2 linked regions of the Astyanax mexicanus genome follow. The protein of the gene in region 1 binds, or shares a complex with, the protein of each later gene. Links are inferred from orthologs where the notes say so. Each region holds a gene or a part of one and is shown in the gene's direction. Other genes may lie near its edges.

Region 1 (7,900 bases):
TACTAGACCTGCACAATACAATATCACAATGCAGTAAATGAAAAATGATGAATGGAAGAATGTTAAATGCTTGTACGACTTTAAAAATAAAATTTCCCACCCACCTGGCACCCACTATCAGGCCTCGCTCAAACTCTGATAATTAACACGTAGGGTGTTTAACCTCACTCACCTGATAACACCTCACAACTGTACTTGCAGTTGCAAGCTGTACACAAGAGACACGGCTTCATGATCATGATTTAATGATTTATGAACTCCTATTCCAAGACTTTTGGCATGTCAAACAAACAATTTGACCAAAAAAACCACTACTTTTGTGTTCACAATCTTATTTATTTATTTATTTATGACTTATGCAAGAAACATTATCATCACTTTTTTATGTTGTTTACCATGTACATATATATTGCAATTGTTATACAATCAATGTAAGTTACTTTTTCTATGGATGATTTGTATCATTAATGAATTGTTTAAATGATTAAGTAATTAATATCCACTGTTCCCAAAATATACTTTTTCTTTCTAATTTTGCAGAAGAAATCATTTTTCAACATTGACCCCCGATCCACTAGGGCAGAAGGTTCCTGTGGAGCTGTGAAGTGCGTTCTTTCACTCGTTTTTGATGGAGGAAAACTGACCTTCACTTTCGTCAAGGTAAATAATTTCCACCACACTGGTAGCAAATCTGTTGTAATGCATCATGGGTGAGTTCAGTTATCGTCGTTATATGAGCTCAGATGATTATGTATATCAATACTTCCTAACTAAAACCTGATCAGACGTGGACATTAGTCCAGACTGACCAGGTCAGCAGATAACTTTAGCTAACAGTCACATCCAGTCACTTTAACTAAAGCTTTTCTTGGAAACAAAAACACACAGTGAAATGTACGCTAACTTAGTGCCAAAGCTTCACGTCTGTAACATTCTGACATCAGGAACCTGAAGACCAAAAACCCACCCAGATAACATGAACATGTGCGGCCAGTATGTTTAGCCCTGCTGAGTTTTGATCATGGGTTTCATGTTGGCTCCATATGTTGATCAGTGCTGGGTCCAGGATGGGTTAGACATGGGCCTCATCTGGGTTGGGTAATGCATATAGGGCCTAGATGGGACCAATGTGATATTAAGGGTTCCATCCTGTGAGTCCCACACAAGCATGTTGGCTGTACACACTGAAAGACCAAAAAACACGACATATCTGAAATGTTTCATGCCCAGAAATCTGGCACAGTTTTAGACCACCTTGAATTATATTTGTGCAAGCAATGCTGCACAGTAAAATAGTGCACCATCCTCCCGACTTAAATTTCTATGATAACTTGGTACAGTGGTTCTTTCTGAGAATATACTCTGAGAATATTCTTGATCTCATCCTGACCGCTGCAGTATTTTTGACATTTCACACTGTTGAGACCACAGGCTGAAAACACCTCATTAACTACTTATAGATCTTTTTTATATTATTTCTCTTTAGACAGCTGCTTAGAAGTAATCATGATTGGCGAGTGTTAGTATGTGGTTGAAGAAGTCAGAGAATTATTGAAGCTTGGAAATTTGATTCAGCTGGTTCCAGTATTACAGTTATAGCTGATGATGCATCTTAAGCTTGAGCCTTTGCAATCCTAAGGAAGCCCAAACAAACAAAGTCAGCCTAGGCCACTTTTTTATTTATTTTATTTCTAATTTTGAGCGCACTCTGAGGAAAATGTAGTGACTCAGGTCCGATACATCAGCTCACAGATACCTTGTGCTGAGTGACATCACCCTTTGGAGTGATGTGGGGAGAGAGTGCCATCTACCCACCCAGAGAGAGCAAGGCCAATTGTACTCTCTCGGGGCTCCGGTTGCTGATGGCAAACTACATGAACAGGATTCAAACAAGCGCTCTCCTGGTCATAGTAGCAGCGCTGGACTTCTCGGAGCCCCCCCTAGCATAGGCCACTTTTAATAATAAATAAATAATAGAAATGTGTTTTAGAACTCATTAGACCCTCATTGTAATGCCTAGCCTCTTTATTTTGTCTCGCTGCAGAACATAGTTAAGACTATGATGTTGTACTAGGGTAAAGGAGTTCTGATTCCACTGGTATTTTGATCATGCTTTGTTTCAATGGCTTTTGCAGGATGGTAGTGTTTCCTATGTTAGCGAGCTGAAAGCCTCCTTGGAGCCAAAGCCTTCATGTAAGACATGCAAAAGTAAGTACACCCTCAATATGTAACCAGTGAAGTTAGAGTTAATCTGCATTTGGAACTGCTTTTAATTAGAGAAATAGTTCCCTATACTGTGTCAACCATTTTGTAGTATTGTTTAAAATTTCAGTTGTATATTTTACTTACTATATAATATAGGACACCCATTATTCATAACACAATATAGAATACAGATGATGTACAGTAGAATATTTAGGGTATACTATAATGCAATAAAGATACATGCTGCTGGATCATTTTTGCTGGTGGTAATACAGTATTTTTCTGTTTCTTAGGCAAAACCTATTCTGGTGTTATGGACCATGAGAAGCTCTTCTCAGTCAACAGTAACCAGAGTTTCACATGCAAGTCTGGGACGTACCTTATTCTGTCTGAAAGTCTCAGGATTAAGCTTGTCCCTTTGCAGATTCAAGCATTTAACCTGCCCAATGGAACATTTGGAAAAGGTATGTAGATTTTTAGTTCCAAGAACACAAATACACAATAGCCCTAAAAAATAGCTTATGCTGTTTAAAGGAGTCAGAATATCGACAAAACTCACAGCTAATGTAGTTAGGACAATATGAGGAGAACTACTTGAATGTTCTTTGTCTGGTTAGTGGGTTTCAGATAAATTCCAGTGATGAATATCTCTAAACATGTCCTATATAAGGTTGGGTGATATGGGTCTAAAATAATATCAATGAAAGGACCATTTGAAGCACTTTTTTAAAAGAGATTTCTTTGGTATAAGTAAAATTCCAGCCTATATGTCCCACATTTCTCTGATCAGCAGCCACACTAAGAATTTGCTGTGTAATGTCATTGCAGGAGAAGAGTGCTGGGCTGATTACAACAAGCGGATCCTCCCCATCATACTGGGTGCTGTAGCAGTGGGTCTCATCCTCATCAGTGTGCTGATTTTTGTGTTGACTCGCGATCGCCATGGCGGCTACGAACCACTTTAAGGACTATGATGTGTACATACAATATACTGTACAGTGATGTGCAAAAATCATAAAACTTCTGAAATAATGCTTTCTATAGAACTGTTTCTCTGAGCAGCAAATTAGAATAATTAGAATAAATCTAAATATACAATCCATTTTTATTTTGTTTCACACTAAGAAAGACATATAGATATAATCGACTAAAAAGGGCCAGTGTTTCCCGTTTTCATTTAACACCTAGATTATGTAATCAATCCTTAAAAAAATCAAATCTAATAACATTGTAGGTCACGATTATGCAGAATAAATAGAAAATACTAAAGGGTTCACAACATTTAAAGCACCACTGTATGCATGTATGTATATATATTACTCTTAGAATCCTACATCAGTGTTTGTAATGTTTCTGTAGGTCATTTTTGTACTGCATTTTAAAAGAGTCTTTTTTAAGATAATGCAAAACATTCTATATTTCTGTTTACATAATTGTGCATTCACAAGTGTTTACAAGCCTTTCTTCCATTTATAGACTAAAATGTGCTGTACATTTATTTAAGCACTGTTATTTCTGTGCTCGGTTTAAAAGGGAGCTGATGCTAAGCTGCTGTTTCCAGTGATTGTGTGGTTGTGGTTGCTAAATGTGAAAACCAGTTTTATTTCATTTATTTTAAAGCATTTCTGTCCGTTCTTCATCATTAAATTTTAATGCAATGTAAAAAAAACAACAGCAAAAATAGAGATCAATGTTTTGGCGTGAAAATAATGATACATTTCCATGTTTCTAAAAGTAACTGACTGTGGGGACTTCATAGCAATTTTAACGTTTACGTGTGAGTGTGAGTAAATAAGTGTGTGAATGTGCTCTAGACAATTTATTAAAAAAAAATAATAATTAATGGCCTGTTCTTTAAACTTCCGAATCTCATCACTCACTTGAACAATCAAGAGCAAACCAAATTAAATACTGCCTCCTCAGACAAGTATCTGAGGCAGGAGTGCGCTCATGTCTAATAAAAGTTTAATAATCTAAAAAAAATGCTAATGGGTAATGACTATACAAATAAATGTTCATATCCAGCAGTGAACTATACCGGTACAGATAGTTGCCTTTGTGATTTGATTAAACAGACCTTCACTGTTACACTAGCTACATTCTGGGAAAGTGTGGAAATCAAGTCAGCTAGCTATTTCCAGTTTCAGGCACATGTATAGACCTTCTGTAGGGATGTTCTGTATATCTGTAGCAAATGTATGGTACACCTGATTCTAATTTTAAGTAATAAATCTGGGGGTATCCTAACTTTTTTTTCTTATCCTAAGAAATTTTTCTACTTCTACTTATTCCGTTTTATCATAGTTCTTTTTTTTTTTTTAGTTAGTTAGTTGTGCATCTCTTAATATTGGTAACATGTCCACATATTTATACATGATAAAATTTTAAACAGATATACTTAGAAAGCACAATATTATTTGGTATAAATTACTCTGTTATATATAATTTTGTTTGCTAAATATGTTTGCTTGCCAAATATTGGGTTAATCCCTACAAAAATCTTTTCTTCTTTTTTACATTACTCTTTATTTTTACCCCAATTTATTCATTCCCTCACTTTCAGGCTTTAACACTCCTTTTATATCTAAATTATATTATAAATTATATTCTTTTTCATTCATATTACATGGCTGCTCCACGCCTCCCCAGGCTTTAATATCATTGGTGTAACTAAAGTACGGGTCGCGGGTAGGTTCAGACCATGTAGCCCGCTGGCTAGTATTAGCAAACACTTCAGTATAAACTACACTATTATAGAGGCTGTTTATGGCGGAGACACGGACTAAGAAACTGAATAAATTCTAGAGTTACATAGGAATAGGAAAAAGTATATCTGTGAAGCTAACTGAAGGACATGAGACGGTTTTAATTAATTCCGTCAGTTCAAACCGGTCAGTTAGCTAACGCTAACTAAGCTAAGATAGTTAGCTTAGCATTTACCTCAGCTTAGCTTGTGAATATGGCAGCTGTCTTGAAGCCACAGCTCAGTCAGGGACTGAGAGCACACATCCAGTAAGTTATTACAGCTTTAAAATATATTTATGCATGTATTTCCGGTTTTATGTAAAGAGCAGAGACAAAAATGCAGTGGCCAGAGTTTATTTAACCTAGTGTTTATAGCTAATCTAGCTGCTACCTAACAAGTAAAGTTGGTTGTAAGCTAAGCTACCAGCTTCTGTTTATGCTTAATTTATAAAGTTACAGCTAACAGACGGCTAAGCAAACGCATTAACACCAAAATTAGCTCAGTATCACTCATGTGCACAACTTTATTTGCTTTAAATGTGTTTTTATTATCTCCAAAACCCTTACAGACAGAGCCAGAATGCACAGAGCTGGTAGGGTGCAAGGTTAAAGGCATTCCAGGCACTTCAGACTGACCACCTCTCTAAGCTAGCTAGCTAGTTAACTCTTTTTGCAAGATTCTGGCATTTAGACAAGCTAAATATTGTTGGGAGAAATTTAACATGACATGTAACATTTAAATAAACCAGTGGCAAGTCATTCAGCTGTGTGTTCTGACAGTGAAGGTCAGCGTGTTTGTTTTCCAAACCTGCCTCCTTTAGCTACAGACTAAACTAAAGGTGTTCTCTTGCCCACAGGAAACTAATATGGACCAAAGGATGTGTCAGGCATGCTTCATTGGGTAAGTGCATTGTAATCAGAAGCTTCTCAGATCAGTTAAGATTCACTGTATGTTCAGATGTGTTTGGGCAGATAATTAGTAGGTAAGCTGGTGTGCTGGAGTTAGACACATTTAGCTTGTGTATATTACAAGCTGTACAAATTGTTCTATACAAAAACACTGGCCAGAGGTATGAGATGCTCTGGAGCAGCTTATGGTCATCATACCCATTGCTGAGCTTGGGTTAGAGGACTGATGAACAGTGAAGCTGCATCATCTGCGTTCTCTAGAAAGATTGAGCTCCATTTACTAGTTTTGGGATGAGCTGGGAGTGGCAGAACTAATCAAATCAAAATCAGTGCCAGCAGATTTCCTCTATGAGGCCTCTCTCATGAGGCTAAACACAATCAGATCTGCACAGCTGTGTTCTGACATCTAGTGTTAATCCTCCAGACAAATAGAGGATCTCACTGCAACAAAACAGGGCTATCTGCTTATTAATACCCATGATTTCAGGGAAAAAAAAAAACTCTTATGGACCTGGTGTCCAATATTTTACCTAAAATTGTAGTTCCAAGATGGTTATGTACATACTGTATTTTATATTTATAACATTTAAATTGTTCTTTTATTAATAAAAATGTTGAGTAAGGGAAAACACATGGCAATGCAAGTTTACATATTTTTGTGTATTGCATTCACAATAGCAGTAAGAAAATGTAGTAGTAGTAATAATAATAATAATAATAAATAAATAAATAAATAAATAAATAAATAAATATATAGAGGATAAAATTACAAAATGATCCAATGTGCAGTGTCTGTGGGAGAGTAGTAAATTATGATGTAAGATTTGGAATAACATTTTGTGATCAGTAGCAGGTAATACCAAAACTGCAATTCTTGATATTGGTTAGAAAATCAAGACAAAGCGTGTGTAATTTCATGCCAGCTTCATACTATTTTAAAATTCAGAAAAATTAAATTAATGGTATTATTTCCTTTCAAATATTTTTTTTCTGTCTGGATAATACTTATAATACTGGACTGTACCTACCCACTTGTTATTTGTTTAGCATAGTAGCAGTTTATTAGCTAAATATGACATTCAAAAATAATTGGACTGTTTTTGCTCTACAGCGAGGATAGAGAAAGTCCTCATTGCAAACAGAGGAGAAATAGCCTGCAGAGTGATGCGGACAGCAAAAAAGATGGGTGTCCGTTCTGTGGCTGTGTACAGTGATGCTGACAGACACTCTATGCATGTGGCCATGGTGAGAAAAAGAGACGTTGTGGTTACACAAGTTTTCAAGTGTTGCAATGTGAACATTTCATTGCAGTCAACTGTGGACAAGATCACACTTTTGTTTAAAATCACATTTTCATATCTTAATCAGCCATTGCAAAGGAATGTTCATACTTCTTCATATGTATATCTTGTAATTGATAACCGCTGTAGAGTTTAGTGTACAATTAACTTTTTTTATTATTAAATTCTAGGCGGATGAAGCATATCACATTGGAGCAGCACCGTCACAACAGAGTTATTTGTGTATGGAGAAAGTTCTTGAAGTTGCCAAGAAGTCCTCTGCACAGGTATGTCCCCTGTTGTGTGCAGGTCATGTTATGTGGAAAGTACATATGTAAGTAAGTATGTTGATTTTCTTAAGTTTAATAGGTTGAAATACACAAACACTTTTAAGTGCCATCCGAAAATGGTTGCAATTTTATCCTTTCATTCAAGCCACTCGTTCCATTTGATTCTATTGAATGAGTGAATTTCTTTAAAACTGACTCCCAATTTTTTAATACATTGCCAAAAAAATCTGTTTGAGTTCAGTTTCTATAAAACAGCTGCTGGTTCTCCTTTTCATGGCATACAGAATGCCACACTGCTAATTAAATAATAATAGTAATAAAAATGTATATATATATTTATATAATTAATATATTTGTATATTTCTTTGCCAACAAAAACAAAAAACTGCTTGCTTTGTGCAGTTTTATATTTGTAATATCAATACTGGTGTCCCACAGGGTTCAAATATAGGGCCTTTGCAGTTCTCTTGT
Region 2 (7,080 bases), on another chromosome or scaffold:
CCCCACCAGAAACTTCTCAACAGGTAAACATAAGGATCGAAAACAACAAAAATCCCTAGTTCCATTTAAAGGACCTGTATTATATGCAGCTCTGGGAGAAATTGAGACCACTTCAGTTTCTGAATCAGTTTCTCTGATTTTCCTATTTATAGGTATATGTTTGAATAAAATTAACATTATTGTTTTATTCTATAAACTACGGACAACTTTTCACCCAAATTCCAAATAAAAATATTGTTATTTAGAGCATTTATTTGCAGCAAATGAAAAATGGCTAAAATAACAAAAAGATGCAGAGCTTTCAGACCTCAAATAATGCAAAGAAAATGAGTTCATATTCATAAAGTTTTAGGAGTACAGAAATCAATATTTGGTTGAATAACCCTGGTTTTTAATCACAATTTTCATGCATCTTGACATGTTCTCCTCCACCAGTCTTACACACTGCTTTTGGATAACTTTACACCACTCCTGGTGCAAAAATGCAAGCATTTTCCTCTTGATTATATTCCAGAGGTTTTTAATTTGGTAAAATTAAAGAAACGTATAATTTGTAAGTGCTGTATTTCTCGCTCTTTAAGATGTGAATAATTTGAATGGCTTATGAAATGTCTTATGTCTCATGTACCAAGTAGATATCACACGCAGGTCAAATGTGTATATTAAACTATTTAGATAAAAAGAACTGGACTGTACATCCTAAATAACAAATCCACAACAAATTGTTTAAAAATAAGGTCCCAATAATGCAAGTGAATGTAAAAAATGCACTCAGATTTCTAAGATCCGATTAAGACCCAATTATAATCTGATAAAAAAATTCCCAGTGCATACCCTTACTCTGATTATTTCAGGAAGTTTGTAGTTTTTTCACATGCTTTTGTGACATTACTGGCTGGTTGTCAAATAGAAATCTGAGCATTTCCTGACTCATTTAAACATCCATTATCTGATTACCCAAATGTATGTGAACACGTTTATCGGATTGCTGCAAAAATATGCTTTTTAGTGATTGTTAGTTTATTAAGGGCATGCAAATACACTCACTGATCCACTGATTCTGTTGGGATCAGCCTGATATCAGTGCTGAGCATCATATCTGTGCTGTTTGTAATTCATATATTAAATGCAGATCCACTCAGTAACCAATGTTGTTTTTGTCCCCTTCCCTTTCCTTTCCTCTACATGAAGCTGAAGACCTCTCCTGGCATAGCACCCAAAGAGGATTCTCCCAAGTCTAGTGATGACACTGAAGATGAACCATCCAGAGTATCTCAGTTCTTCCTCTGTGATATCTTCACTGAAGTGGAGGATGGGGACTAACTGATATACTAACATAAACACTGTGATTTATACACCCTCCACCCCCCCACCCTACATCAACATAAACAGTTACCAAAGCAAGTGTTTCAGTATGTTTAACTGAAGTATTATATTTAATATTTTTATTTGCCATGAAAATGCTGCAGTATTATTTTAAAGATGGTCTATAATTACTAGAAGGTTCTGCTTATTTCTGTTTAGTTACACTTGCTTCATATTTATTTTGCTGTTAGATATTGGAAGCTTTTATTTACAGTTGCCTTATCGATATTATTTTCTCTGTTGGTAAACATTATTAAACTAAAGTATTACGGGTGATTTAATATTGAATGTAATTGAAACAGGGACTGATTTTTTGTTTCTTTTTCCTCAAAGTGCAATGTGCCTAATATTTATGACCATGAATGTGAAACTGTGGTTCCTTGTTATGAAAATTCCTTGTTGCCTTATTTATTTCTTGGTTATTTATTTTTAAACACTGCACTACTACATGCAATATGTGGCACACTTAACTAAACATTAATTTCCTAACGCTTCACATTTTCTCCAGTTTTATTTTGTCACTAAATAATAAATAATGCAATTTTTTGGCTTTTGGAATCCATTATTTGGATTGTATTTCATGTTTTTTGTTGAATAGGGCTATATAAGACTGGGCCTGAAATGTGCGTGCAACATCTCACGAACTGTGATTCATAAAGAAATACTTGCTGTGAAAATGAGCGTATATTTAAGCAAGGTTTGAGGGATGCGTATCCATTCAGAAGATTGCGGAGAGAGCGGGAATTAGTGACATCATGTGGTAAAGCACGGAATTGCAGGTAAATGCGTAAACCTTCCTCACGCATATTAATACATAATGCAGAAATCAAGACTAAAAACGTAAGATTAAAGAAGTTAAAATATATTAAAATATAAATATACTTGTTCAAATATATTTTGTCTGCATGTATAAAGTTTTAATGTGCTCCATATCTTATTCGCCTTTTGTTAGTTAGTTATACTTGTGTATTTCACTTGTAGTTTATTTCAATTTTATTTGTATTATCTGGTTTATTTTATTTTACAATTTAAAATCCAAAGGTGCTATATATAAATATTAGTATTTCTATTATTATTAATATTATTATTATTATTATTATAGCATAAAGATTTTTTTGCGAATGATTGTTTAATGGATCGGTTTAGTTTTCCAGTAGCCATTCTTATTGAACTGTGGGATAAAACCACCAAACTACACCTTCTTCCTCCTCGACCTCCGAAACAAGTTCTTCTACTGCGCAGAGTCCATCATTTCACTTCTTTGTGCTGCATTTTTTTTGGGCGTAAGCTATTTCATGGTTTTGTGCATGCACACACTTTCACTTCAGAAGCTAGGCAGAGTTTTCTAAATGAGGCCCAATATCTGGAGATCATGCTCCCACCAAAACTTGTTTCACCTCTGACTACTCTAAAGTATATCCGTGTCTGGTATAAATAAAAAAAATGACTCTTGCTTGCCCGCTCTAGAGTTTGTAATAGTGACTTTAGCATTGCCCACAGGGGACTAAATGATTGCAAAAGGCATGTTGAGGTGAGTTAATTTAACTATATATAACTGCTAAACTTCAGAAACATTCAGTTTCTGAATCAGTTTATCTGATTTTGCTATTTATAGGTATACGTTTGAGTAAAACAACGGAAAAAGTGAGAAATGGCTGAAATACAAAAAAAGATGCAGAGCTTTCAGAACTCAAACAATGCAAAGAAAACAAGTTTATATAATAAAGTTTAAGAGTTTAGAAATCAATATTTGGTGGAATAACCCTGGTTTTTATTCACAGTTTTTATGCATCTTGGCATGTTCTCCTCCACCAGTCTTAAGGTGCTTGCACACTGAACGCGGTATGCCGCGCGGCATTCCGCTGTGCTGCCGCTCTGCTCTACGCTGGTCAGTTGCGGGTGCGTTGCGCTGCTGCTGACGCCAAGCGTCTCCTGCTGATAATAGGCGGAGTTTTCTAAAACCCATCACCTCTGTGAGCGGTGTTTTGTAGTTTTGAGTCTCTACAGCCTCTGTGGATCTGTATATGTTTCTCAGCCTCAGAACAAAGCTCTGATTCTTCTCTTCCTCCTGTTATCTCTATATGAGTGTAGGGAAGTGATGTACAGCTGAGGGGATTCACTAATCGCTATTATTAGTCTCTCGCGCACGTTTATTGTTGTTTGGACTACAGTTTCTCTCTAGTCGCGTGAGTTCACGTCATGCGTTTTCTGCCGAGGTACCGCTTGCCGCGAGGTCAAAGTTGAACCATGTTGAACTTTGCCCGCGGTAAGCGGTAGCGCGGTGGAGGCGTGGTTATGGGCGGGGAAACGCGCCGCTTTCCGCTCTGCTCCGCGGCAGCGACGCACCGCTCTACCGCTCTAGACACTATTGAATCCTATGGGGGTCAGCGTACCGCGCCGCACCTACCGCGTGCAGTGTGCAAGCACCTTTACACACTGCTTTTAGATAACTTTATGCCACTGGTGCAAATATTTAAGCAGTTCAGCTTGGTTTGATGGCTTGTGGTCATCCATCTTCGTCTTGATTATATTCCAGAGGTTTTTAATTTGGTAAAATAAAATAAAAACTATTGTTAACCCCACTTCTTGCTAGCTAACTGCTTGCTCTGGAACCCTTACTGCACGTGTGTGTCAATCAAGTCTCTTCAGAAACTGGGCGTCAGTTTTTCTGACCGTTTCATTGGATAGACTTTGAAGGGGGCGTGGCTCCACCAACTCGGTCACCCCTCCAGTGGTTCATTCAGTTGGGGGAAACATTGGACGGTTATTTCTTATTGTTAATGAATAAAATGCTAAATTTATAGTGACAAAATGTTAATGCAAGCTCTCAGACCGTCTGTCCCCTTTATCCGGAGCAGGAGCGCTCTGCTGCGGCTCTACCATGCGGATAAAGTCGCCACTCTGGGCTCCCAGGCTGATGTGCAGTCTCCGGTTTACCAGGTAGGCCGAGACGAAAGCCCCGGGCTGGAGTAGCAGCGGCTCGGTGGAGGAGTGCGTCTCTCGCGGGGGGACTGGGATGCCCTTGGCGGCTTGTGCTGCTGATGCTTTCTGTTGACATTTAGCTGAGGAGAATCCTTTAAATATGTTGTAAACGATTAAAGCATTGCATATTACCTCAGGTTGGGTTAAAACTAGATCAATATTGGATATAAAGCAAACATATTTAAACTGTTTTAGCAAGTATTATTTAAGAAGCTGACAGTTGTGTGAGTTAGCTAGCTAACATAGCTAGCTAACGTTATAGTGATCTAAAGCCCTTCACAGAAAAACAACTGCCAAAATGCAGCCATTGGTTTCTTAATTTTTGTATTAAAATACTTTCTTTGTGGAAAAATTAGTTGTTTGTGTCATTTTAAGGTATTTAAAAGCATTCTGACATGTTGATACTTTGCCTGTCACTTTAGGAAAACTATGAACGCATGCAAGCTTTGGTGAAGGAGCTGAAAGAGCGATCAGAGAAGATCAAACTTGGTGAGCATCTTTTATCTAGGTCATATTTATAATAGTAATTAGCTAAGCTATAGAACTAGAATTGTAAGACGTGGCTGATGTTTTTGACGGTGACCTTAAGCAGCAACTTAACCTAACTGTAGTGGTTTGTTTACCCCTGTGATCACCAGCCTGATCCTGGAGAGCAACCTTCATGCAGGTTTCATTACCAACTAGGAGTGTAGCAGTGTGTAGATACCTACTGCAGTCATATTGCAAATACACTAATGCTAAAATGTGGAAAGGCTGTGCTTCCATTGATTGTATAAACACCAGAATTTGGTTGGCAGTCAACAACAACCCACTTCCCACACATTTATTCACCCTAAGCATCCATCCTTTAAAAATCCTTCAATATTCAATCCATCCTTTTAAAATCCTTCATTAGTTGCATGAGCAGTGTTTAGCTTGGTTAGGAGTTTTAATCTGCAAAATGTAACTAAACGTAGCACAAAAAAAGTAAGAAGATTTGTGTTTGGTAGATTATTTCTTTGTTGTAAATATACTATTTGGCCATGTTGCTATTGACGCCTGTTTTGAGCTTCTGGTACCTCAAGTGCTGCCAATCAGATGCCAGTAGCACCTGTGAGCATGGAGCCAGCTACATTGGTCAATGGGTGTCTGCTCCAAGAATAAGCATGCCATGTTTGACTGATCTAGATGGGGCAAACTGGTGAAAAATCAATATGCAGCATTATTTAGAGTGAGCCCCAGTACCATCTCCAAACTGAAGGCCAAGTTTCATATCACAGGGGATGTTGTGGGAGTCCCAAGAAGATGAAGATGACACCCCAAGAATATAGTTAAAACACCAGTCAACAGCTGAATACACTGTTTGGCATTGGCAGAGGCATTTTTTCTTATATATAAATTTAATCCATTTAAAAGCAAAAGTAACAGGATTTTCCAATGCCTTGTTTCCAAGAAGCTTTATTATCTACATTTGTTATCTACCAAAGACAATTTTCATTATTTTTTGTGCTATGTTTATATATCAAGGAGGATTGATTGATCACCAATGGTTTGAAAAATGTTTCCATTCATTCTCACAGGTGGAGGAGAAAGAGCAAGGGCCTTACACACATCCAGAGGAAAGCTTCTGCCTCGGGAACGAATTGATAGACTCCTAGACCCAGGGTAAACAATGCAAGACACATTAACTATACAATTCATTTTACAACATATACAATAAATATGTAATCATGTAATGGATTGTAATATCTAGACATCAGTCAATGCTGGTGAAAATAAAAGGCAAATTAGCAGATATAATTCCGATATCATCATGCATCCCTAAATGTAATAAAACTCAGTATGCAACACTGTAATGTAATATATAAGATTATCAAGCAGTTATGTTCACTTTTGTATGTTACGGTTTGTGATAATTGACATAGCTAGCATGCTAATCATTAAGATGGCTTCTTGACTAAAAGAGCCAAGTTAAAAATCATCCACTGCAATGCTTTTGCCAGTGTTAAGGTATAAAATTAAATGTATTTACTTTGTGTTTTTTGACTGACGTATGGTTCCCAAATTAGTAAAATTGCAATAATGAATTTTAACTTTACAGTGACAATAGCTCTACCTTGCTTTTATAAATTTATCTACATAGTCACTGTTGTGTAATAAAGTGCTCAGTTGCTCCCTAACTGTTTTGTCTCTGGGTGCAGCTCTCCCTTTTTAGAACTGTCCCAGCTTGCTGCTTATGAGCTGTATGGTAGTGAAGAAGTTCCCGCTGGAGGCATCATCACTGGCATTGGTCGAGTTTCTGGGTAAGTGATGAATCCTTTTTGATATTAAAACGGAAAAAAGTGAAGTGGTGACTTCATTATTCTTAAATTAAGGAATGATAATGAATCATTGTTTTCTATACATCTGTTCATCACAGGGTGGAATGCGTGATCGCTGCAAATGATGCCACTGTGAAAGGAGGTACTTATTATCCAGTTACTGTAAAGAAGCACCTTCGCGCTCAAGAGATTGCACAACAGAACCACCTGCCATGCATTTATCTCGGTGAGTTACATTAGTCATGCATTCTTGTCGTGATAAAAGAATGTAATATATTCCACATTTTTACACTGTTGCAAGTGTATCTGACATACATACATACATACATACAAGAAAAAAATATTTAAATCAAAATGTGACCTCAATGTTGTTTAAGTAGGCCCACCCTAATTAGCTGTTTTGTCTACAGTGGATTCTGGGGGTGCCAACTTG

Evidence for each region. Proteins that work in one complex are often made in the same cells at the same time.
Region 2: the proteins of mccc1 (region 1) and mccc2 are in contact, whole or in part, in a cryo-EM structure (PDB 8JXM), measured with the Homo sapiens proteins. The link is inferred for Astyanax mexicanus from reciprocal best matches to the Homo sapiens genes MCCC1 and MCCC2. Residues at the interface, in NP_064551.3 of Homo sapiens: Glu519, Phe526, His531, Asp532, Phe534, Ser535, Pro536, Phe537, Ser538, Ser539, Ser540, Ser541, Gly542, Arg543, Arg544, Leu545, Asn546, Ile547, Tyr549, Thr550, Arg551, Tyr568, Tyr636, Leu637, Ser641, Glu644; in NP_071415.1 of Homo sapiens: Leu56, His57, Val60, Glu61, Lys64, Asp88, Ile91, Pro93, Gly94, Ser95, Pro96, Phe97, Leu98, Glu99, Gln102, Ile123, Gly124, Arg125, Gly128, Glu130, Arg234, Trp276, Leu278, His281, His282, His285, Lys298, Lys299, Leu300, Ile304.

The regions. Positions count from the first base shown.
Region 1 is NC_064423.1:26,094,018-26,101,917, forward strand, and holds the start of mccc1 (methylcrotonoyl-CoA carboxylase subunit alpha, mitochondrial), read left to right. Parts: upstream 1-4,884; 5' UTR 4,885-5,164; coding exon 5,165-5,217; intron 5,218-5,807; coding exon 5,808-5,851; intron 5,852-6,970; coding exon 6,971-7,104; intron 7,105-7,330; coding exon 7,331-7,426; intron 7,427-7,900. Other genes in the region: lysosome-associated membrane glycoprotein 3, read left to right, coding at 541-660, 2,136-2,208, 2,499-2,669, 3,034-3,170.
Region 2 is NC_064429.1:19,848,657-19,855,736, forward strand, and holds the start of mccc2 (methylcrotonoyl-CoA carboxylase beta chain, mitochondrial), read left to right. Parts: upstream 1-4,068; 5' UTR 4,069-4,176; coding exon 4,177-4,305; intron 4,306-4,769; coding exon 4,770-4,836; intron 4,837-5,906; coding exon 5,907-5,991; intron 5,992-6,527; coding exon 6,528-6,629; intron 6,630-6,745; coding exon 6,746-6,873; intron 6,874-7,057; coding exon 7,058-7,080. Other genes in the region: transcription factor TFIIIB component B'' homolog, read left to right, coding at 1-23, 1,192-1,323. UniProt on the Homo sapiens protein: Carboxyltransferase subunit of the 3-methylcrotonyl-CoA carboxylase, an enzyme that catalyzes the conversion of 3-methylcrotonyl-CoA to 3-methylglutaconyl-CoA, a critical step for leucine and isovaleric acid catabolism.